3 linked regions of the Diceros bicornis minor genome follow. The protein of the gene in region 1 interacts with the protein of each later gene in a biochemical or structural test. Links are inferred from orthologs where the notes say so. Each region holds a gene or a part of one and is shown in the gene's direction. Other genes may lie near its edges. The genes, in order: CHML, RAB5A and RAB1A.

What was found.
Region 2: the proteins of CHML (region 1) and RAB5A form a complex in vitro, tested with the Homo sapiens proteins (2 studies listed by BioGRID). The link is inferred for Diceros bicornis minor from reciprocal best matches to the Homo sapiens genes CHML and RAB5A.
Region 3: the proteins of CHML (region 1) and RAB1A form a complex in vitro, tested with the Homo sapiens proteins (2 studies listed by BioGRID). The link is inferred for Diceros bicornis minor from reciprocal best matches to the Homo sapiens genes CHML and RAB1A.

What each region holds. Positions count from the first base shown.
Region 1 is NC_080777.1:3,502,621-3,510,568, forward strand, and holds the start of CHML (rab proteins geranylgeranyltransferase component A 2), read left to right. Parts: upstream 1-4,694; 5' UTR 4,695-4,989; coding exon 4,990-6,948; 3' UTR 6,949-7,948. Other genes in the region: OPN3 (opsin-3), read left to right, coding at 354-726. UniProt on the Homo sapiens protein: Substrate-binding subunit (component A) of the Rab geranylgeranyltransferase (GGTase) complex. Binds unprenylated Rab proteins and presents the substrate peptide to the catalytic component B.
Region 2 is NC_080741.1:25,753,804-25,761,832, forward strand, and holds the start of RAB5A (ras-related protein Rab-5A), read left to right. Parts: upstream 1-5,012; 5' UTR 5,013-5,098; intron 5,099-8,029. Other genes in the region: EFHB (EF-hand domain-containing family member B), read right to left, coding at 1-242. UniProt on the Homo sapiens protein: The small GTPases Rab are key regulators of intracellular membrane trafficking, from the formation of transport vesicles to their fusion with membranes.
Region 3 is NC_080751.1:22,658,896-22,666,727, forward strand, and holds the start of RAB1A (ras-related protein Rab-1A), read left to right. Parts: upstream 1-4,587; 5' UTR 4,588-4,792; coding exon 4,793-4,815; intron 4,816-7,832. UniProt on the Homo sapiens protein: The small GTPases Rab are key regulators of intracellular membrane trafficking, from the formation of transport vesicles to their fusion with membranes.

The sequences.
Region 1 (7,948 bases):
GGCGCCGGGGGGCGGGGGCGCGGCGGGGGCTCGGCCGGGGCGGGGCTGCGAGGCGGCGCCGGGGGCGGAGTAGCGAGAGGCTACGGGGGGGGGTGGTGGGCCGAGGAGCGGCGGGGCAGCGAGGCGGCGCCGGGGGCGGGGGCGCGGCGGGGGCTCGGCCGGGGCGGGGCTGCGAGGCGGCGCGGGGGGCGGGGCAGCGAGGCGGCGCCGGCGCGGCAGGGGCGGGGCGAGGCGGTCCGCGCGCACCGTGGCCCGCGCCGTTGGCGGCGCCCGCGCCCCACCCAGTGCGGAGCCCGCCGCGGGCCGCGCGGGAGGCTGAGCGCGGCGCCCGCCGAGCGCGCCGGCGCCGGGCCATGTACGCGGGGAACCGGAGCGGCGGCCAGGGCTCCTGGGACGGCGGCGCGGCGGCGGGCGCCGAGGGGCCGGGCCCGGCGGGGACGCTGAGCCCCGCGCCGCTCTTCAGCCCGGGCGCCTACGAGCGCCTGGCGCTGCTGCTCGGCGCCCTCGGGCTGCTGGGCGTCGGCAACAACCTGCTGGTGCTCGTCCTCTACGCCAAGTTCCCGCGGCTCCGCACGCCCACCCACCTCCTGCTGGTCAACATCAGCCTCAGCGACCTGCTGCTGTCCCTCTTCGGGGTCGCCTTTCCCTTCGTGTCCTGCCTGAGGAACGGCTGGGTCTGGGACGCCGTGGGCTGCGCGTGGGACGGGTTTAGCAGCAGCCTCTTCGGTGAGTTGGGCTGGGGGGAGAGAGCGTCCTGCTGTCCTCTGCAAACTTCCACTCGCTGCATCGCCCCCGTCTCTGCGTCCTCTGCCACCCGGCCGCCCTCCGCTCCTCCCCGCTCCAGCTCCCCTGCACCAGCCTCGCCTCCCTCCGCTGCTTCCTCCTCCTGCAGCTCTTCCCGCCCCGCGCTCCCTCGTCTCCATCCCTGGGGCCGCTCATCCCCCCCCCCCCCACGCCGACCCTGAACCCGCCCAGCCTGCAGCCCCAGCTCCCGTTGTAGCTCCAGGTCCTCCGTGACTCTGTCCCGCTCATCCATTTCTCTGTGTTCACCTCCTCATATGATCCAACAGGGCACGAAACAACGGCTTGTACACTTGGAGGAAAGAAACGAGGGACTCTAGAGTCAAGAGATTCAAGACAAAGTGATTAACTCGAGAAAGGTGGAGAGGGTGATGAGAAGAGATTTAATTCATACACTGTTGCTTTCCTAAAAACGAGAAGTAGAAACCTAACAGAGTAGCAATGTGTAATTTTTTTTTTAAACGTTGTTCATTAGCGGTTGTAAACCTTTGAATGCTTCCTAGGAAGTGAGATCTTTTCATTCACGTTCTCAGAATGCAAATTGGCATGTGCCCTATAAGCTATTTTTACTACATTTTCCACCTTGTGGGTTCCAGCACACAAAAATCGAAGGTGAGATTACAAATGGCTCAGAGAATAACAACTCAGATGAACAAATAATTAGTTGTGCAGCCAGTAGATTTCACTAAATTAGAACTTGATTGTTAATTTAAGAGTTATTGAAACAATACTGCTAATCCTTATGGGAAATTTAAGTCTCACAGAAACTTGACATTTTGAAGGATGATCCATCCACCCAGTGAATCATTGCAGATGTGGTTTTCTCAGCTTGCAGAAGAAATTATCTTTTTGTGTGTGCTCCAGAAATTTCATTTATACAAATATTTGAAATGGAAATGTGTATTTCTCAGGTTTTAAAATTCGTTTTTTAAAAAAATTGTGAAATCCGTTGATAATTTATTACTGGTTTTATCTTGGCAGGCTTCTGAGAACAAAATCTTTGTAGCATTATCAAAAATGTTCTTACCAACCTCCTATGTTGTGACAAACTGAAATATTATATTCATTATGGTTCATTTTTTGATATTTTGAAGGAAACAAAACAATGTCTTAGCAATCGTGATTTTATTTATTGGATTGCCTCAATGATTCTAACATTCTAGTATTACCTCCCCCTCTCCAATAAGCATTAATTTGAGAATTTCATTTGTACAAAGATTTGAAACTGGGGAGGAGGCTGTATGTGTATGTGGTGGTAATGTAAGATGGCCCTGTGATTACACTCTTTATATTAATTTAAAATACCTATCAGGCCATTTTTTAGGCAGGGCTAAGCTTTAAAGAGGGTGATGCAAGCTTAAGCCTAAAGTGTCATCAGTAATGCTTCCTAACATGGGCCTTAGGTTTTGTTCACAGACATGAAAGTTCTTATTTCCAAGAAGTGCTTTTTCTGTGCTGGGTAATTCTATTTCTGTCCCAACCCTGTGCCTGGGAGTTTGAAAACAAGGGTATATTGAGTTCTTTAGTAGTGCCAGCATTCACCTTCTTCCTCATCTCTTCCCTTTGCGACCCCACCCTGCTGTGTCTCCTGTCTCTTCCATCCTTTTTCTCTCCTTCATCATCCCAGCTCGGATCCTGTCCCCATCAGAGGGATTTTCTAAGAGTGCTAGAAACGTTCACCGCAGGGTATTTTGCCTGATGACTGCTCTACTTCTCTGGGCGTTTAGTTAGTGCTGTCAACCATGACTTTATCCCTGCTTTGAAATTAGGGGTGGAAGCTCTGGGGTAAGCCATTAGGAGACTTGTTTAAGCCCTGGGGGCAAGTCAATTGGGGGTTATGATGGAGCTTAAACATTCTTAGCAAAGGTTAAGAATTTCTTTGCTTGGAGTAAACTCCAAGGATTGTGCTTCTAGGTGAGAATTGGAGATGAAGAAAGGGAGGGTGCTTTCCCCTTTGTTATCCCGGAGCAAGAACTAACCAACCATGGAGTATTGAAGGGGAAGAAATAAACAGATGTCAAAAGTGGCTGCTTGCTCCAGAGGCTTCTGGATAGGCTGCCCCATCAAATGGAAAGACCACTGGCCTGATGGCACAAGGGTGGATCCCAGTCTTGATCCTGTGGCTAACCCATTGTGTAGACTTTCTCAGTCACTTAATCTCTCCAGCCGTCAGTTTTCTTATCTCTATTATGGGGTAGTTGAGCTAAATGTTCTTTCAAGTTATCTTGTCCTACCTGCTATGTATTTTGAGGACTCTGATATCTGTAGGTTAGAAGGTGCCTGGTTTTAGCACTTATGGCTTGTATCCTTTCCTCTTACTCCCACCCTCATCTCTATTCCCTTCTAAGCCAAGAATAAGCACATACTATGGTTACGCTTCTTCATGTACCCGCATGGGTTCCGTCTTCTGCATCCCTACTGTAAGGAGGCAGAATAAGCAATTCAAACATACTGACATACATGTATCAGTAGGCTAGGCAACCCCTTCATTCTGTGCTCCATTCTTGATTTCTCAGGGAATGCTGAAAACAAGTAGAATTCCTCATATTCTTGAGGCAGAGGCTCTGACTACACAGGACTGTTAAGATTGTCATTTCACTTAAACTGACCAGTCAGTTCAGTGAACTAGTCAATTGAATGGCTTGTTTTACAAATGTCCGAGATGATTAGTCATCTTAGCCTAGGTGGGCCTGATTTATACTGATCTAGATTTCAGTAAGTTTAATGGTAGGGAAAATCAGAGCTCAGAGAGCTCTCGCCCTTCCTGGGCAGTGATGAGTGATAGGAAGGCCCCCCAGCATGTGGTGTGCGGAGTGCGTTAACCTAAAGACTTCCAGGTGAGTATGCCTTTCACCCCCTGGGCCCTTCCCTCTCTGGCTGCACCTAGCACCACGCCAATGTTCTGCACATGGAATATAACCAGTGTTAGGCTTGAAGTTAACAGGAGAGACTTTCTTCACTACCACCTCCTACCCCTTCATAAACAGGAACGACAAACAACACGTTAATCTTGGCAGACGATGTTTAGACAGACTTTTATCTTGGGAGACAGAGATTCAGGGACATAGAGCCAGAGTCTGACAAAATGCAAGCCACGTGATTCAAATGTTAGAAGTAGGTATTATTTATATTAAGATATTTTAACGTATGAACCCAGGAATTTTCCTTTTTAACTTACACCTAAAAAACATACATGTGCATATGAACATTCACGTAAAGATTTGTTATAAATACATTTATTTTCCCTTCAGTAGACCTATTCTTTCATGCACTTAAATATTTTAAAATGCCAGTTGTTTTACAGAATTAATCCTTTTGTAATGATCTGACTAATAAATTCGGTTGAAATGGTCTCAGGTTGCTACCACGAGATCCTAAGGGTAGGTGGGGCATGGAAAAATCAGCTGTCCTGGAATCACCCACAGACTGTAGTGGCCACAGAAATATTCCTAATCATGACAATGTGCACATAGTATGTAGTCTGTTTCCATAAACACTGTGGAGCCACACATATAGGATAAGCTCACAGCTCTGTATAGTTTTATTCAAATGTTGGTTTTCTTAAAAACAAAAGTTATAGAATTGCATTGTGTTCATTCTTCTTTATTTTTGTGGGACATTGTTATGTCCATTCTTCATTATTGAATTGGCTGATTTGGAGGGGTGTATCTCTATTGTTCATTTTCAAGAAATTAGGAAATAGGTGAGAAAGCACTGAATGACTTGCTTTGGTAGACGCTTGTGTCCTGCTAACAAGCCAGGCTTCAGTGGATTGTGATTGCTGTTGCATGAAATTACTTTTCTCCTAATATCGTTTACAATTGTATCCTTTCTTGAATTTTCTTCTTTCAGAGAAGAGTTCCAGTCACAAATGCATATGTATTGCATTTTGACATTTACTGCTAAGATGAAATGCAGAAATGAAAACCACACATCCGTTTTAGTGTTCTCAGATGTGATTAGATGTACTTTATCGTGTTTTTATGCTACTGACCTATAAGAAAAAAATATTAACAAAGGGTAACAGTTAAACAGCTAGGACCTGCAACCTCGATGCTTCTGGGATGAACTGGAAAATCACAAGGAGAGCTTTCAGTACAGCCTGTTCACACCTCATCTGAGCCCTCAGCCGAGACTCATACACATATCCTTCATCGGCAGCTGTCACCAGACGCTGTACCTCCCAGGATGGCGGACAGTCTCCCGACAGAGTTTGATGTGGTCATAATAGGGACGGGTTTGCCTGAATCCATCCTTGCAGCCGCATGTTCAAGAAGTGGTCAGAGGGTTCTGCATCTTGATTCGAGAAGTTATTATGGAGGAAACTGGGCTAGTTTCAGCTTTTCAGGGTTGCTCTCCTGGTTGAAGGAGTGTCAGCAAAACAGTGACTTTGGGGAAGAAAGTGCTGCTGTGTGGCAGGACCTGATCCGTGAAACAGAAGCAGCCATCACTCTTTGCAGGAAGGATGAAATCATTCAACACACGGAAGTGTTTTGTTATGCCAGTCAGGATGTGGATGACAATATGGAAGAGACTGATGCTCTACAGAGAACTCCTTCCTCGGAAGCGTCCAGTACCCTCACTAAACCTCCAGATTCGGCATGCTTGGCTGCAGAAACACACCATGTTACAAGCTATGAAATGCCTGCCAAAGACACTGCAAAAAATGTTGGAAAGATTTCACTAGAAGTCACTGATGTAGAGGAAACCCTAGTGAAAGAAAGTAATTGTGGAGATAAAACTTGTATACACACAGTTTCAGATGGAGATAAAGATGAAAACAAACCTGTAGTGAAAGACAACACTGATCAACCAAAGAGAAATAGCATTACTTACTCTCAAATAGTTAAAGAAGGCAGGAGATTTAATATTGATTTGGTGTCAAAGCTGCTATATTCTCAAGGATTACTAATTGATCTTTTGATTAAATCAAATGTTAGTCATTATGCAGAATTTAAAAATGTCACTAGGATTCTTACATTTCGAGAAGGAAAAGTAGAACAGGTGCCTTGTTCCAGAGCAGATGTCTTTAATAGCAAAGCACTCACTATGGTTGAAAAGAGGATGCTAATGAAATTTCTTACATTTTGTGTAGACTATGAACAACACCCTGATGAATACCAAGCTTTCATGCAATGCTCATTTTCAGAGTACTTAAAAACTAAAAAATTAACCGCCAGCCTCCAACATTTTGTACTACACTCAATTGCAATGACAGAGTCATCTTGCACTACAATAGATGGCCTTAAAGCAACAAAAAACTTCCTTCAGTGTCTTGGACGATTCGGAAACACCCCCTTCTTATTCCCCTTGTATGGCCAAGGAGAAATTCCCCAGTGTTTCTGCAGGATGTGTGCAGTTTTTGGTGGAATCTATTGTCTTCGCCATAAAGTACAATGCTTTGTAGTTGACAAAGAGTCTGGAAGATGTAAAGCAATCATAGATCACTTTGGCCAAAGAATAAATGCTAAATATTTTATTGTGGAGGACAGTTACCTTTCAGAGGACACGTGCTCAAATGTGCGTTATAAGCAGATCTCCAGGGCAGTGCTCATTACAGATCAGTCTATACTAAAGACAGATTCAGATCAACAGATTTCCATTTTGATAGTGCCTCCAGCAGAACCAGGAACTTGTGCTGTTCGGGTCATTGAGTTATGTTCTTCAACCATGACATGCATGAAAGACACTTATCTGGTACACCTGACCTGTTCATCTTCTAAAACAGCAAGAGAGGACTTAGAATCAGTGGTGAAGAAATTATTCATTCCATATGGTGAAACAGAAATAGACAAGGAAGAAGTTACAAAGCCAAGACTCTTGTGGGCTCTGTATTTTAACATGAGAGATTCCTCAGGAATCAGCAGAAGCTCCTATAATGGCTTACCTTCCAACATTTATGTCTGCTCTGGGCCTGACTGTGGACTGGGAAATGAGCATGCAGTCAGGCAAGCTCAGACACTTTTCCAGGAGATCTTTCCAAGTGAAGAATTCTGCCCCCCACCTCCAAATCCAGACGACATTATCTTTGATGGTGATGACAAGCAACCAGAGGCTCCTGGAACCAAAAATATAATAATTGCCAAACTAGAATCCTCTGAGGAATGCAAAAACCTAGAAAGCCCAGGAAAGCACCTTCAAAATTAGAAAAGAGCAAACTGGAAAGGCTACTTTGGGCCTTCATTTTGACATCAGAATATGAATTATTAGAAGTGGTTATATGATGAATGCTATGCAGACGTTGTCTTTAATTCTCTTTGAGACATTCAGTCATTGGACGCTTTGTTAACCTATCAGTAACTGATTTATTGGTTATTGGACTTCTGTTTGTTTCAGAATGGGCTCCATGATTCAGCATCTTAAACAGGGTTAGCTTTATTTTAGTATTGGGTATATATGTGAGGGTTCCGTATTAGGAGCTGTGCTTAAAGGAAGGTAATATTGTATCTGCTAATGATCTTCAGATTTTATTGTCTACAATAACAACAATATCTAAGGAATATTTTAATTACTTTGTAGCTATTACAGTTGCTACCACCTCTGAATAGTGAAACACAGTAAATTTTGTGGATCTTTCATGTATAATATAAACATACAGACAAGGTGGTAGCAATAGCAACTAATGCAAGTGCCAGTATGATAAAATACATTTGTTTGTAACTGTTAAAAGATTAGCTTTGCATGATCCTTTATTTGTGAAGGTCTGATGTTTACAGTACATCTTGCAGCTTAATTCGCCTACTTGATGCTTGTAACCAATGAGGCAGTGACGCCACCACAGTCTTCTGCATTACGGAGTTGGAGAGTTCAGTTGGTAGTTGAAGAGCTCATTCTTGGGAAGCTCATTCCAAAGAAGATCTAGGGGATAAGATTAGTTCTGGTTTAACACTTCAGAAAATTTCTGCAGAGCCCTGCTCTGGCACCTAAAAGAAAAGAACTTCCAACAGGTAGCTCACGCTGAAAGAAAAATTAAATTGCCCCAGGAAAAGATGCTTCAGAACAGCTGTTCTGAAATTCCTAAGGAGAAAGTGAGGGAGGCATTTCTGACCTGGGATGGATTTCCCAAGGTTTCTCAGGAGGGTGAACAAGTCCACCTTGTTGGCTATACCACTTCAATCAGCAACACTCACTACAGCTGATAGGAGAG
Region 2 (8,029 bases), on another chromosome or scaffold:
AATGGAGATTTTGTTTCTGGTGATGCCATCCTCTCCTCGTATTTATTACTAACCAAGGGGCTCTCGCTCCATGGGGAATGTTCTTTTCCTAATGCCACTCTGAACCCCAACTCCGTGGGAGATTTTGTTTCCATAAAGACCCTCCTCTCTCTTAAGTCATCTTTTCCTTCGTGGGTGAGGCCGACCTTCATGCTCAGGGGAGATTTCCTTTCAGACACTCTCATTCCTTCAAGGGCACTCATCTCTAAGGGGAAAGCTGTACCTGGCTCGAGGGAAGTTCCCAATTCCTTGAGGGGGCCCAACTCTCACGAAAGAGCACATCTCCACTCGAACTCCCTGCCCGCTACTTAACACCTAGCGAAGCTCACAGGGAAAACGGAGCTGGAGGTCTGTTTACCCGGTTACCTGGGAAACAGGGGCGTCGCTTGGCGTGCAATTCTCTCTCCCGAGCAGATCCCCGCCCATCTCTTCCTCTTTCTCTTCCGTCCGTTTCTCTCTCTCCTCTTCTCCCTTTCCTCTCTGTCTCCCTCTTTCTCTCTCTCCCTCTCTCTCATTCTGTCACTTTTCCCCCCTTCTTTACCAGATTTGGAGATCAAGAAAACTTGAAGGATGTGGTCTTCGGCACTAGAGCAAATGCTCACCAACTTCTCTCTAGTTTCCCAAGCAATGCAATCCTCTTAGGATGGGTTCATCCATGGGCTTCCTCCTGGCCGGTGGCCGATTCATTTTACCGGTGATCAGGGAATAAATAACCCTTTTTCTGGTGGTGGCCACTAATTTTAGGTCCTTCCTTGTGCAAGTACATGTACACTGCATGTAGTTTAAAAGCCCTAAAAAACTACTTTAAATTCTGTAAAGTTATATTTGGCAGCTGTGGTATAGAAACATGTTCAAATCTGTGAGAACACATACTTTAATAACTAGCCTTTAAATATCATTTAAAGTAAATATATTAAAGTTTGAGATGTGTTACACAATAATGCATACTGAATTTTTAAAATATTGTGGCAAATTCAAACTTAATGTTTTTAAGTATGAGATTTTCTTTAAATTGGGGTTACACCTCTGTCAGGTTTTAATGAGAGCGTGTTTGGTGAATATTTGTCATGTTCTATACATACAGGAGACATAGAACACCTAGTTTAGAATTTGAATGGAATTTATGGGAATCCAATTTTTTTAAGAACTCTATGAAAAACTTAAAATCCAAAAATTTTAAAAGTGATAAGGATACTATTTCACATTTGTAAAAACCGTGTAATTTTCTAGATAGTTAATATAAATATTCTTCTCACCCTAATCACTTTAAATGACTTGATAGTGTATAAATCAAGGTATGTTTGTATAAGAGTTCATTCAATTCTTTCATTTTACAAATAGCTATTGAGTCCCTACCTTGTGTCAGTGCTCGGAATACAGTGGAATATAAGCCAATCCTTATCTCATGGAATTTATATTCTAGTGGGTATAAGTAACCATCAAGTAAACCAATAAATAAGATCATTTCACATAGTGATAAGTGTTATGAAGAAAACAATGCTTTGATGTAAAGGGAAGCTACTTTAGAATTGGGGGGCTTAGAAGTCCCTTAGGTAGGTGACATTTGAGCTTGCATGATGCCCTGCAGAGACATGCTTTTTAAACATGACTAGCTCAAGTTTCCACAGCATTTTTCTCAGCGTCTTGTCATCATGCCTACGATTCTTTATGTTAGAATTACCTTTTGGTTTGTCTCCAGTCAAAATGTTACCATTCCTTACCACCGAGGCAAAGACTCATTCTTCAACTACACAATGGAGGAAAGATTTCCTGGAAGGGAAAGTAGAAGATAGGGGGTGCAGTGGATGATTGAGAGATGCAAACTGCTGGGAATTTGTGAGTGGGTGTTTAGAGATTTGAGGGCAAAGGAAGCACTAAGAACAGTGTTCAAGTCTTTATGACTTTATTTAGGGCCCATCCATTTTATAGTTAGTCTATCAACAAGTAGGATCCCACATTTCCCACTAAAATATATACAATTATCAGTCCTCAGTCATCTGGAGTTAGGAAAAAACACAGGCATATTGTGAGTGGCAATACAAGAGCAAAGCTTACTGTGGCATTTCAATCTCTCCAAAATTACCACAGGATTCTAGAGGTGCTAGCCACTGGAGCAGCACCCTCCCAAGCAAACACTATGACTAAACAATAAAATATAGTGGAATGTATTCATGAAGGAGGTGAATTAAAAGATAAAATTGGTAGAAAGAAATGAATGAGGAAGCAATATCCTAGAACAATGAAATGGGAAGTTTCCAGCAATTTACAAATTTCAGCATCCATGTGTTATTTGTTAGGTCTTCTTAAGTCATACGTTCACCATTCTAAATGTAATTAAGTTCACCAATATTTTTGGGGTCCCTATTATATGAATCAAAGGTCCTCTGGAGGAATTGACGATTAAATTATGGTCCAAGCCCTCAAGAACTTTAAAATCCTAATGGGAATGAAAGTCTAAGGAGAAAAGTCTAGGCACTCTCTAACTGTAAAATAAGGCAGATATTAGAACCATTATAGACAGTAAGGCAAAGTATCATGAAACTATAGGAAAAAGATAACTAAATCCAGTGGAAGTATCATCAGATGTGGTCCAGAGGAGTTGGCATCCTGGCTAAGGTGAGACCTGCAGTGACAGGCAGTAATGGTGTTCCAAGTGGAGAAAACAAAGCGATCAAAGACACCAAGATGAGAACACACAAGCAACATTCTGGGAACACAGAGTAGACTGGTATGATTAGGGCACAAAGCAGGAGTTTGGGATAGAGGGAGGCTACAGAAACAGAATGAAAGAAATGTGGGTTGGGACTAGAGTTGAAGAACTTTGGACTGTATTTAGCAAGTAATGAGATAGCATTGAACATTTTTGAGTAGGAGAGTGACTGGCTACAGCATAAAGAACGGATAGAAGAGGCAGGAGCATGTATTAATTCCAGTTTATATGAATACTATCAGGGCCCAGGCTTTGGGATTACATCTCAGATTTAGGGATTAGAGAATTTTGGGTGATAGAATGGACAACGGTTTAAGAGGGAAAAAAGGACGAGTTGAAGATGATTCTGCTCTTTCAAGCCCATGTGACTGGGAGGCTATTAATACCAGTCACCAAGCAGAAGCAGGTTTGGGGTGGAATAGGTTTGGTTTTGGACATACTGTTGACATGCCAAAACTGATGTGACATATCCTATTTCCTGATTCTTCCTAGGATTGTCCCAGAGGTATTACCATGACTAACACATCATATTGGAACAACCCCTGGGGATAAAGTGCTACAGATACCACTTATGTATGACACATTATGCTCTTCTGGTTAGTAACTAGGGAGTTGATCTGAAAGACTGGCTATTCAAGGGTTTAAATCATCTTCATTACATAATGTTGACTGAGCACCAACAAGATACCTTACCCCAAGTACACATAGTAGACAATCCATATCGATGTCCTCACAACAGGGCTATAAACGGTAAACTGCACATTGAAAAGTAGCCCTTATCCTGAGGGAAAATCAATTTAACATTCTACCAAGTTACAAAACGAATTTTTGTTTTGTTTTGTTTTGTTTCAGATGCCTGGTCAGAGACTGTCTATCGTGTGAGATTTAACCAAAGAAGCCTGTCTTATATAGGTCTCCAGTGGAGGATAATTAATGGCTTGTTTTTCACTGCAGTCGTGCTTAAGCACTCAGGTTCTGGAGCCAGCCTGCAGGTTAGAATGCAATTTCATCACCAACTCCGCGATGATTTTGCACAAATTACTCAATCTCTGTGCCTCAAATTCTTTACCTGTAAAACAGGCACGCCTCATTGACTAATTCCACAACCATGACTTAAGACTCCTGGCTGCCAGGCACTGTGCTAATCAGACAGCGGTGAGGACCACTTTGGGGAGTTAACATTCTAATGCAGGGAGGCAGACGATGAAGTTAGTTTCAGAGTGAAAGCTTCATGGTGTAAGAATAAAATGGGATAATTCCTGTAAAGTGCAGGACCCGTGAAGGGAAACTCTGAATGAAGTTAGCTATTATTCTAGGATTTGCCCCTCCCCACCAAAAACAAGTAAACTCGCAATAAAAGCATGTTATTACTTTAAGACTTCCCCGCCTAAAGACAACTTTTGGGATGGGGAGGGTCTCATCCTCCTCCCCGCAGTAAACACCACTTACCGGCCCTGACCGACCCAACCATCCACAGGGACACGCTGGGGGGCTCTCTCGTGGTAGAAAAGTCCCCTCAAAAAAGCCCCTTAGGCGAGTTACCAGGGTTGGGATGTCGCGGGGTAGGGTACGGGGAACTGTGAGCTCATATACACAGAGGGAACTTCGCCGCCCCACGTACGCTGGAAGCAACAAACCCAAGATCTCTGGGGCTTCCCCGAAAGCTAGGCGGTAATGGAGTTTCCCCCCCGCCCCTCCCGCCAGGAGGCCAAGACCGCCGTCCAGATAACAATGGCGCCGGCGGGGGCGGGGCCGCGCGCGCCTCGGGTGAGGGAGGGAGGAGGGAGGCGGCGGGATCCGAGCCCACTGCCCGGGAGTCACGTGACAAGCCCCGCCCCGCGAACTGGCCCCCGCTGGGAGGGCTTTGAGAGGGGCGGGGCAACGGTTGGAGCGGTCGGACAGGTGACGACCGGAAGTGACGAAGGGGCGTAGTTCGCTACGTGCAGCGACGTGGCGGCGAGGTCGGCGCCGGGCGGCGGAAGTGGCTCCCGCGCTGGGACTTGAGTGTTTGTGTTTTGGTTTGCGAAGGACCCGGCGGCCGGCCTGTGGGGAGGAGGCAGAGGAGGGAGGAGGAGGAAGAGTTAGTCGGAACTCGAGCGCCGGCGGCGGCGGTGGCGGTGGCGACGGCGGCGGAGGAGAAAGGAAAGAGGAAGGCGGAGCGGAGAGAGGCGGAGACGGAGCCCGACGGGGGCGGCACCACGGCACGAGCACCGCACCGTCCAGTCTAAGGGGAGCAGCGCGAGGAGACGCGCCGCCGCCAAAGCCACAGCCTCGGCCTCCTCTCGGGACACGCCTGTGACCTGCTGCCGGGAAGCTTCAGCCCCGCGGCTCCGCGTGCTGCGGCCTCAGGTAACCAGACCGTCCCTCGCCCTGCCCACAGCGGGCCGGGACCCCGGGTTCTTCGCGGTCCCCAGTCTGTCCGCGGCCCTGCCGGCCCCGAGCCCCCCGCCCCTTCTCCCTCGCGCGCGCGGGTGTCCTGGACCGGAGTGCTGTCGAACCCGGCGTCTCGTCCTGCCGGCCTGGTGACTCATCCTTCAAGGGGCTCTGGAGACCAGGATTTGGGGACTGGCTGCGGGAGCGACGGGTGTCACCCTCTTCCCTTCTCAAGATGGCGCCGTGAAAGAGTATTGGAGGCCGCGGTCCCGCCTGGCTCCTGCCCTGGCAGCCCTGGGGGGTCCCAGCCAGAGCCAGGCCAGGTTCAGGGGAGGAGAATGGGAATGATGGCCAGGGGGCCTGGCGGATCCTGCTCGTTCAGGCGATCCGGAGTTTGGTGTCAGTTGCTCAGGTGATCTCCAAGGAGGCACCGGGGCCTACGGCAGGTGTGAATTTGGGGAGCTCCGCCTGCCTTCGACTTCCAGAGATGGCTAATGGAGGGAGGAGGAGGAGGCTCGTCAAAATAGGCTGTCTAGAGACTCTTGTCTCATCTATGGAAGGTGGTGAACCGCAGCTTTGAAGAACTCAAGACAGCTAGGCCGCTGAACACCCTCAGTGGGTAGAGACCATTAAACCTGCTCTGCTGTTCTCTTTCCTGGAAGCTGCTTACCCCCCTGAGACTTTTTAAGCTCTGAACGTCGTAATTCACATATTTGGTTTTTGTCTTTTGCTTAAGTGGAGTCACAGTGTTGAATCAGTTGGTTTTCGCATAACTAGTAGGAAAAAAACACGTATACACCATTGATAATTCAGGACAGCTCACAAACTTTATTCATAATGTAAAATGGGGATAATCATATAAGCTCATAGGGTTGTTGTAAGCAAAATTCATAGAATAGTGCTTGGCACAGAAGTATCTAGTAAATGTTTGCTGCTATTAAAGCAATTTTAATCAAAGAGCACCCAGAAGGACTTTAACTATAGAATACCAGTTATTTTCAAAAGATTAAAAATGCGTTTTATGGAAAATCTTGTTTTGCAAAATAGAGAAGTTTCAATAGTGAATACAAATGTGCGTTTTTTAACTGTAATGTTATGCTAACTATATATGTATAGTTAAATTTATTTTCTGTTTGAGAGCCTTAGGAGGAACCATAATCCAATAGCTTTAAACCTTAAAAGGCAAAGCTAATTCGTAATTTTTTTTAATGGGAATCTGATGTTTTCCCTGAAATTTTGGAAGTACCATGGAAATTCGGAGTATATTGTCCTTGATGAGTAATTTAGTTTACTGTTTGTAGGTAATCAGACAATTGGGAAGTGTTTCAATTGCTGTTCTATGTAATCTAAAGGTGTGTTGGTGCATTTTCATCTACGTGACATTCTGTTGATATTTGCTCATTATCTCATCAACGGTCCACTTTAATTGCCAATTTTCAATCCCTACTATGTGTTGACCACTGTATTGGAGAGTTTTTACATATATTCTCTCATTTAATTCTCACAGCAGCTATGTAAGTTAGGTATTCTGGAAGTAGAGATTTGGAAATGAAAGCACTTGTTCCAGCAGAAATTGGTATAGCCAGCCAGGATTGTATCCCCAAATCTGGTGTGTTTTGAAGGGGATGGGAGGATAGATATGGGGGTTGTAGCGTTTTTTCATTATGGAAAATTTTTTAAATATTCAGAGGTAGGGAGGATAGTGCAATGAACCTGTCACCTGACTTCAATTATCTTATGGCCAGTCTTGTTTTATTTACATTCCCATTGTTTGGAAGCAACTCAGACATATCATTTCACCTGTTAAGTATTTTGGTATGTATTACTAAAAGATAAGGACTCTTCAAAGCTGCTGTTTAGATGAGGCAGAGGTGATTTTATTGTCTCGAGAATGTAAGGCCTCATGGATAGGTTTATTAATGAATTCATGGTCAAGAGGAATTCTTGTATAAACTCATTTCGTGGGGAAGGCAAATTTGCTTATATCAGGTTCCTAAATGAAACATAACAGTGATTTTAGGGAGAGAATCATCAGATTTAATATTATTAGTAAGCCCATGATCAGATTTTGATTAAAGATAGGAGAAAACTATTATGATTGGTTTGTGAATGGATTGGAAAAGAGTTCTTTAAATGTTTACTAATTTCTTTGAGATTGAAAATTAGCGTTATTAGATAATGATAAGAGAAGACACACAAGTTGCCATTCCGGCTAGTTTCTTCTAAATGTGTTAAATACAAAATAATGACATAGCCCCAAAACTACAGAAAAGTATAAGTAAATAAGACACTAATAAGCTCACCACATAAGAGAACCATGGTTATCATTTGCCTGTATGATGTACTTGAGCACATGAGGAAACAATTCTGTCTTATAGCCACTAGACACAAACTTGGGAGCCTTTAAATATTTGTTGCTCCAAAATTACCATTAATTAAACAAAGAACATGTACCATTTATTTTATTTATATATGTTTTTTTAGGAAGATCAGCCCTGAGCTAACATCCATGCTAATCCTCCTCTTTTTGCTGAGGAATACTGGCTCTGAGCTAACATCTATTGCCAGTCCTCCTGCTTTTTTTTCCCCAAAGCCCCACTAGATAGTCGTACGTTATAGCTGCACATCCTTCTAGTTGCTGTATGTGGGACGCGGCCTCAGCATGGCCAGAGAAGCGGTGCGTCGGTGCGCGCCTAGGATCCGGACCCGGGCCGCCAGTAGCGGAGCGCACGCACTTAACCGCTAAGCCACGGGGCGACCTGAACGTGTACCATTTAACGGAGGCCTTCAGATTATAATGGCCAACATTTATTGAGTTCTTACTCTGTTCTAGGATCTGTTCTACTTATTAACATAATTTTCCTCAAAACTGCTTTAACCCATGTAGTCTGGCTCCAGAACCTGAAC
Region 3 (7,832 bases), on another chromosome or scaffold:
TTCAGTGACATTGAGTTCAGTTCACACTGGGCCCTCTTCTCTACTGCAAGTTATTACTGAATGAAATCTATCCTCACAGCTTTAACTAGTGTCTGGCTTTGTCTATCTTTGACAGTCTTCCGTCTTTTGTGCTGATTCAGAAGGACAGACGGACAATTTCTGGTAGTTCTAGTACTTCCACACGAGGGCAGCTTTAACCCTGACCTTGAACCACATAGCACTGTCTACCTTCCTCCTTCTCTACCCCACTCCAGGCCCCTTGTCCCCTGTTTTCTGCCTTGCTGGGCCTTGGTTCCCATGCTGGCAGGGAAACTGGATATCTCTGGGTCACTTTTAGCTCCTCCCTTCCCTCACGCCTTCAGATTCTATCTCCTCCTCTCTGGAATCTCCTCTCCTTTCCATTCTTTATGCAACTGCCCTAGGTCAGGACACATCATCTTTTGCCTAAATGAATCTAGTTACCTTTTTTTTTTGTGAAGAAGATCAGCCCTGAGCTAACATCCATGCCAATCCTCCTCTTTTTGCTGAGGAAGACTGGCCCTGGGCTAACATCCGCACCCATCTTCCTCCACCTTATATGGGACACCGCCACAGCATGGCCTGACAAGCGGTGCATCGGTGTGCGCCCGGCATCCGAACCAGGGCGGCCAGGAGTGGAGCGCGTGCACTTAACCGCTAAGCCACGGGGCCGGCCCCCTCTAGTTACCTTTTAACTAATTTCTCTACCTCCAGTCTCCACAGAACTCCAAAGTGCTCCTTTTAAACCACTGAGCTGAACACCTCACTCTCCTTCTCAGAACTTTTCTTGACTCTCTGCTGCTACGGAATCAAGTTGAAACTCCTTAGCAGGCATTTGGGGCTCCCCATGATCTCACCTTAACCTAAACATCTCCCAACTCATCTCCCATGGAACCTCTGTTCACTATTCCTTAAACACATGGATATCTTCACACTTCTAGGGTTATGCTCACATTCTTTTGTCATTCTAGGATAAATGGCTCCCTCTCCCCCATTTCTGCCAATGATCAAAATTTTATTCTTTTTCAAGGCCTAATTCAAATACCGTCTCCTTCATGAAAGCACTCTCAACGGTTTGAATTGGAATTATTTCCCTCCTCTGTACTTCTACCTTGTTCATTTTTTTTTTTTTTTTTTTTTTGTGAGGAGATCAGCCCTGAGCTAACATCCGCCAATCCTCCTCTTATTTTTTTGCTGAGGAAGACGGCCCTGGGCTAACATCTGTGCCCATCTTCCTCCACTTTATATGGGACGCCGCCACAGCATGGCTTGCCAAGCAGTGCGTCGGTGCGCGCCCAGGATCCGAACCAGCGAACCCCGGGCCGCCGCAGCGGAGCGCGCGCACTTAACCGCTTGCGCCACCGGGCCGGCCCCTACCTTGTTCATTTTTTAATGTCAGGTTCATAATTGAGGTAAAATTTATATACAGTTAAATTCACTCCTTTTAGGAGTATAGTTCTGAGTTTTCACAAGCATATACAGTTGAGTAACTAACCACCACCACAATGAACATATAGAGTATTTCCATCAAACCAAAAAGTTCCCTTGTGTCTCTTTGTAGACAATTCTCTCCTCCCATTCCTAGTTCTTGGCAATCACTGAATTTATTACTGTCCTTATACACCTCATATCATTTTAATTTATTTTTGCATTTTCCCATATAGGTCTTGTTTGTGGACACATCTTTCTCTCACTGGGTTGTAGTCTCCTTGCAGACAGAAAGTTGTAATTATTCACCTTTGTATTTCTCATGGTTCCAAGAACAAGTTCCAAACACATTTATTATGTGCCAGGTCATAAATATTTGATTTAAAGAAAAGGGAAGATGGGGCCAGACTGGTGGCGTAGTGGTTAAGTCTGCGTGCTCCGCTTCAGCGGCCCGGGGTTCGTGGGTTTGGATCCTTGGCGTGGACACTGCTAGTCAAGCCATGCTGTGGCGGTGTCCCATATACAAAGTAGAGGAAGAGTGGCACAGATGTTAGCTCGGGGACAATCTTCCTCACCACCCCCCCCCAAAAAAAAAGGAAGAAAAGGAAAAGGAAAGAAGGAAGGAAGGAAAGAAGGGAGGGAAGGAGGGAGGGAGGGAGGGAGGAAGGAAGGAAGGAAGAAAGGAAGGAAGGAAGCCAAAGGACAGATGGACAAACAGCCCTAGGAGAGTTTTGATTCAACGATAGGGCAGCCAACAAGGCTCGTGGTAGTTTAATAAATTATTCTGAGTTATTAATCTGAACTATAAAAGTAGCTGCTCTTAAACACCTAAACATAAAAAAATATATTAAAGTTTGAATCAGCAAAACTGACACTTGAAGTTTGGGAAGGAAGTCTTAATATAAATAACATATGAGTTGTAGTCCGGGGTAGAAAACAAACACCCGCCACCCGCAAGCTAGGCTGCCTCTGATCTTCTTGCATATTACAGCACCATAACTAAGACACAAGGCGGAGAAGTTAAGGGAAGGAGAAAGGTAATTAGCCTTTACCAAGTGCCCCAAAAGTCATAGTATTATATGCTTTATAATCTGTTTTATTTAATTCTTACAACCACTCTCTCACTTGAGTTATAAGTTATTAGGAGGTAATTCTTTGTTGGGAAAGGAAATACGTAATTAGAGGAAGTTTAGGGGTATACCTCCAAGGGCAGGGACAGGTTAAAAATTGTAGTTTTGGCTCAGGATGAGTTCTTTGGAGATTTTCTGAGTGTTTCTTCTGTGAAATCACAACAAGCAGGAAAGGACAAAAGTCCAGGGTAATACACACTTTTCGATGTCTATCATCGATCCATTCAAGGTGCTTCACCGTGGTGTGGTGACCCCGCTCATTTCAGAAGCCAACATGATGTGAAGGAACTCTACTGTACTGTTTGATGAAGTTGTCAACCAAGGCACATGGTGGAATTTGGGGGTTAAGGGGTGTAGTTAGTAAATGGGTAGCAATAAGAACTGCCTTCTTTCCATATTTTGGCATCACGGGAATTTAAAGTGATTTTGCAATCACTCTTGGGAGATAATTTTCTTGGTTCTTAGAAAAAGTTGGAAGATAAACTTTGGACAATGTATTATACTATGCCCTTTGTAATTAAATAACCCAAGATAATGTGTTAAAGTTTAGTGGAGATTTAAATTCCTGAGCTGATTAAAGAGAGCTGTTTAGACCATAAGGTTTTAAAAAATGTTATGTTCATATTACTCCTGGAGTTTCTAGGCATTATATAGTGATGAATCACACATTTCTATCGTTTATTACTTTCCAATCTTGCAGAACAGCTCAGTATTAAATATCAACTAAAAATAAGTACAATTCATGGGCCAGCCCCTGGCTTAGCGGTTAAGTGCGTGAGCTCCACTGCTGGCGGCCCTGGTCCGGCCTGGGCACGCATCGACGCACCGCTGCTCCAGCCACGCTGAGGCCGCGTCCCACATACAGCAACTAGAAGGATGTGCAGCTATGACATACAACTATCTACTGGGGCTTTGGAGGAAAAAAATAAATAAAAATTATAAAAATAAGTACAATTCAACTTGAAGGCTGGGACCAGGGCAGGAAGACCTCGAATTTTTGACTGACTCTGGGCTGTGTTCCGTGGACGGAAAGTGGAGCCATTGAAAGTTGTGGGGTCGTGATGACAATGCTGTTTCAGGAAGATCAATCTGCCTGTGTGTGCAAATGGCCGGGGGCAGAGAGGAAAAAGAGGCAGTTAGCCCACTCAAAGGATACTGCAATACTGGGCTGAGGCGATAAGAGCAGGGCTGGAAAGAGAGCGGTAAGAAATCAAAAAAGAAAATGGTACTGCCTGCGGCCAACACTGGCCGACGACCGGACCCAGTGGGGCTGGGTGAGTGAGGAAGAGAACTGAAAGAATGGCTTCATATTATCCAGAGACTCCCAAGAATGGCTTCATATTATCCAGAGACTCCCAAGTTTTCAGCCCAGGCCCCTGACTCCTCTTCCGTCCTTAGAGCGGACGTCCTGGTACCAGCCGCTAAGCTCAAGCCTCAAGCTGGCCAGACCAGCAAAAGGCCCACGGGAGGCAGGACCGGCCAGGAGTGTCCTCCAGCCCCACTTGCTTCCAGACCTCCGCATTCATGCCGTCCCTCCGGCACAGCTCCCTCTGTCCCCAGCCCTCGGAGCCCCCTGATCTCCCCCCACCCCTACTCTCCCTCGGCGGCTGGCACCGCCCTCTGCCCCTCCCTTCCCCCCTCCCCCGTGGGGCGCTGACTCGCCCGGCTGCCACGTCTCACTGATGACATCACCAGGGCCGCTCGGCCTTAGCCAATCCGCTAGGGGGAGTCCGAGCGAAGTCCTAGCCAGCGAGTCAGCGGGGAGGGGAGCTGGGAGGGGCGAAGGGGGTGGTGAGAGAGTGGGGAATGGGGCGGGCGACAACCCCTCAAGTACGCATGCACCAGAGGCGCGGGGCTTGGCGGGAAATGGAGTCCCGGCCGTCGCGCCGCACCGTCTGTCCCAAGAGCCGACAGCCACGCTCACAACTCTCTTTCCCGGCATGCCACGCGGTGCGACCGCCCTCTGGGCTCTGTAAAGACCCCCTCGGTCTAAGGCTTTCCTATTTCCTGGTTCGCCGGCGGCCATTTTGGGTGGAAGCGATAGCTGAGTGGCGGCGGCTGCTGATTGTGTTCTAAGGGGACGGAGTTGGGGAAGACGTTTGCTCTCCCGGAACAGCCTATCTTATTCCTCTCCTTTGGTTACCCGTGGTGCAGAGAGTCAGGGCGGCGGCTGCAGCAGCAAGGGCGGCGGTGGCGGCGGCGGCAGCTGCAGTGACATGTCCAGCATGAATCCCGAATAGTGAGTGCAGGAGAGCACCGGTCGGCTGGGTCGGTGGGCCACCTTGGGAAAGCTTAAAGGGGGCGAGGAGGGCTGGGGCGGGAGTAGGGGCCTCGGCCGGGATGAGGTGAGGGTGATGGGGTAGGAGAGGCTGGCGGCCGGGAGTCAGGCCCCATTGTCTGAGGGAGGAGGTGCGGCCGGGGGAGGGGTCGGGCCGGAGGGGTGAGTCACCTGGGCCTGGACCGGGTCAGTTTGGAGGGCCTGAGTGCGGGCCCGGGGCAGAGGAACAGTCTGCTGCGGGGTTGGGGCTTTTGGGAGTCGGTAGTGAGGTGATGGGAAGAGGCAGCTTCTCTTGGAGGCAGTGACTTTTGAAGGAGGACTTGTTTTTAAGGGGAGGGGAGAGGGTGGGAGAGCACTCCTAGAGGGCACTGTCAGTCTCTGCTCCCGCACTCTGCGGAGCTGTCAGAATCGTCGGGGTGGAAACCAGCTTCACTTGTAAATCCTGAGCTTGTTGGCTCTCTTTCCTTCCATTCTCCCCGCCAGATTGCAGGTAATATGGATGCTTTTCAGGACTGCGGGGGATTGAGGGGAATGAGTAGATGGCGAGAAGCAATTTAAAATGTTTAGTTCTCTTTTTGAATTATTTCCTGGAGTTCTTTGAGAACTCGCCAGGCCCGTTGCCTTCCTAAAAACCTGGGCATTTGTGAGAATTTTTTATAGAGGACACTGAAGTCATTTTGTCTAGTGGAGGTCAAGAGAAAAAAAAATAGAACTAAAACGTAGGAACACTTTTCTGATAGTATCACCAAATTAAAGGAAGACTTTGCTGTGAAGTTGGCAGAGAAACGAATGGACCCCATGATAGATCTGTAGGTTTTGGATTACCTACTTGAATGCTTGCAGATAGGGAATGAGGTTCCATGACGTGTCATGAAAAGTTAATGCATTTCTTTTTCTTGCTTACTCAAGAAGTCACTACAGCAGATGTGATATACCTGGCACCTTTCCTAGGAACTGGGGTTCACTTTCCCTGGGAAGACTTTGTTGAGCTCTCCTTAATGGCCCTTTAAAAAAATCCCCCTACTGTTTGCATATATAAATTAATGAATAATTAGAGGAGATTTAACTGGTATTCTACTACAGTGTCAGAAGGCTTTGGGGGAGAGGGGGAATTTTTTTAAAGCATAAAATCAGTATTTGTCCTGAAAGTTGAGTTTATTTGCTGCTTTGGTCAATTACTGCTAAACATTTCCTCTAAAAGATCCACCCATGAGTTTAGCTGACTGTCATGTGTGTGTCACATGGCTCTTGCAAAATGCACTCTGACTTTGTTTTGTAATACTGTGGTTGGATGCTGAAATGTCCCCTTTTGTACTAAACAGAAGCTATAGTATTTTATTAAAATTTTATATACTTGAAGAAGTTGAGGATAGTATTCTAATAGTGCCATATTTGCTATCTTGGCAGTTTTGTATTTCTTTGTCAAGGGCTCCAAGAACAAAATTGGTTTTGCATAGTTGGGCAGAGTTGAACTTGGGGTCCCTAATTTAGTAGTTTTCCTGGCAACAGTCAAGTACGTGGATGTGCTACTTTATGGAGGTTTGTAAACCTCTTCTGTTCAGGGAGTTTCTTATATTTGCTACATATATTTAGTATTGTACATAGATCTTGAGGATTAATTGAACAGGACTTACGACAAATTATTTAGCCTCTGAATTTGTTTCTCCTTTTGTAAAATAAGGTAGTAGGAGTCGTTATTCCTCTCAGGGTAGTTGTGAGGTTCAAGTGTTTGTAAAAGAATTTAGAAAACTATAAGAGCACTCTAGGTTTTGTATGTCATGTAAGACATTCTAGTAGTGCTAGGATTTAGGAATATAATCCTTACCCTCAAGGAGCTTATAATGGAATATAGAAAGTAGACTGTATATAGATCAAATACCAGTAGATATAGCAAGTTCCACATGTGCAGCATGGATTGGAGCAACAAGATTTCAAAGGAGGGTGGAGGGTTGTGGTTGGCTAGTTGGGTTCAGGAAAACTTTATAGAAAAGATACCTGTAAGAGAATTACTAGCAATGGATTTGGAGAAGCAGAAGGGAGTGAGGAGGATCTTTCAAGGGGGAAGAAGGAAGAAGAATGATTAATAAATGGCAAGGATAGTAATTCTTAAGTAAATACAGTGCCAAACCACCCTTTCGTTTGAGGATTCTAGATTAATGACCTCAACAGAATCAAACCCAGAATCATTTTTATATTTTTTCTGGCATGGAGTATGCCAGTACCTGGGCTACTGTATTTATATTCTAGACTGTGTCTGGTAAAATAATCTAGGAATTTGGGAAAACCTTTGGAAAAGCGTTAGTGAAAATTACTTGAGATGAGAGGAGGTGATGGATATTTTATTTGGGAAGGTCACAGGGGCAACCAGCAGGCAGATTTTTAGCCATCTGACTTCAGCAGTTTCTTCTTTTTGTCTTTAATGAAGCTTGTTACCATAATAAAAGTAATTAGAGAAAAATTGGAAAATAGAGAAAAGAAGGAAAGAAATTCTTAGGTTTTATCACCCAAATATAAGTCCATTTAACACCTTGTTCTAAACTTTAAAATCTTATATTTTTCTTAAATTAAAACTTTTAATGAGTGAGTACCTTTCCATGATTCCATGATGTTGTCTTCGTAGCTAACATTTATAGCCACTTATCATAAGCCAGGTATAATATTATATGTTGTAATACATGTGTATTATAGCATACACATTTATATGCTAATGCAAAAGAATAGTATACTAGCTAATATTTACAAGTGCACCCCAAATGTTCCTTGTTTTGGTTTATTATCTACGAATTTATGTTATTCCTTTTAGAAACTTTAAAAATTGTGGATGCTGCTGAATTTGGTAATGAAAATGGGTTCTTGACAAAAAGTTTGGTTCTCTCAGAAGGAACAGGATTTTAGATTTGAATTAGTTGATGTAAGATTACCTGTTAGTGGCTTTAATACTGAATGCTTTTATTTATTTATTTTTAATTTTTATTTAT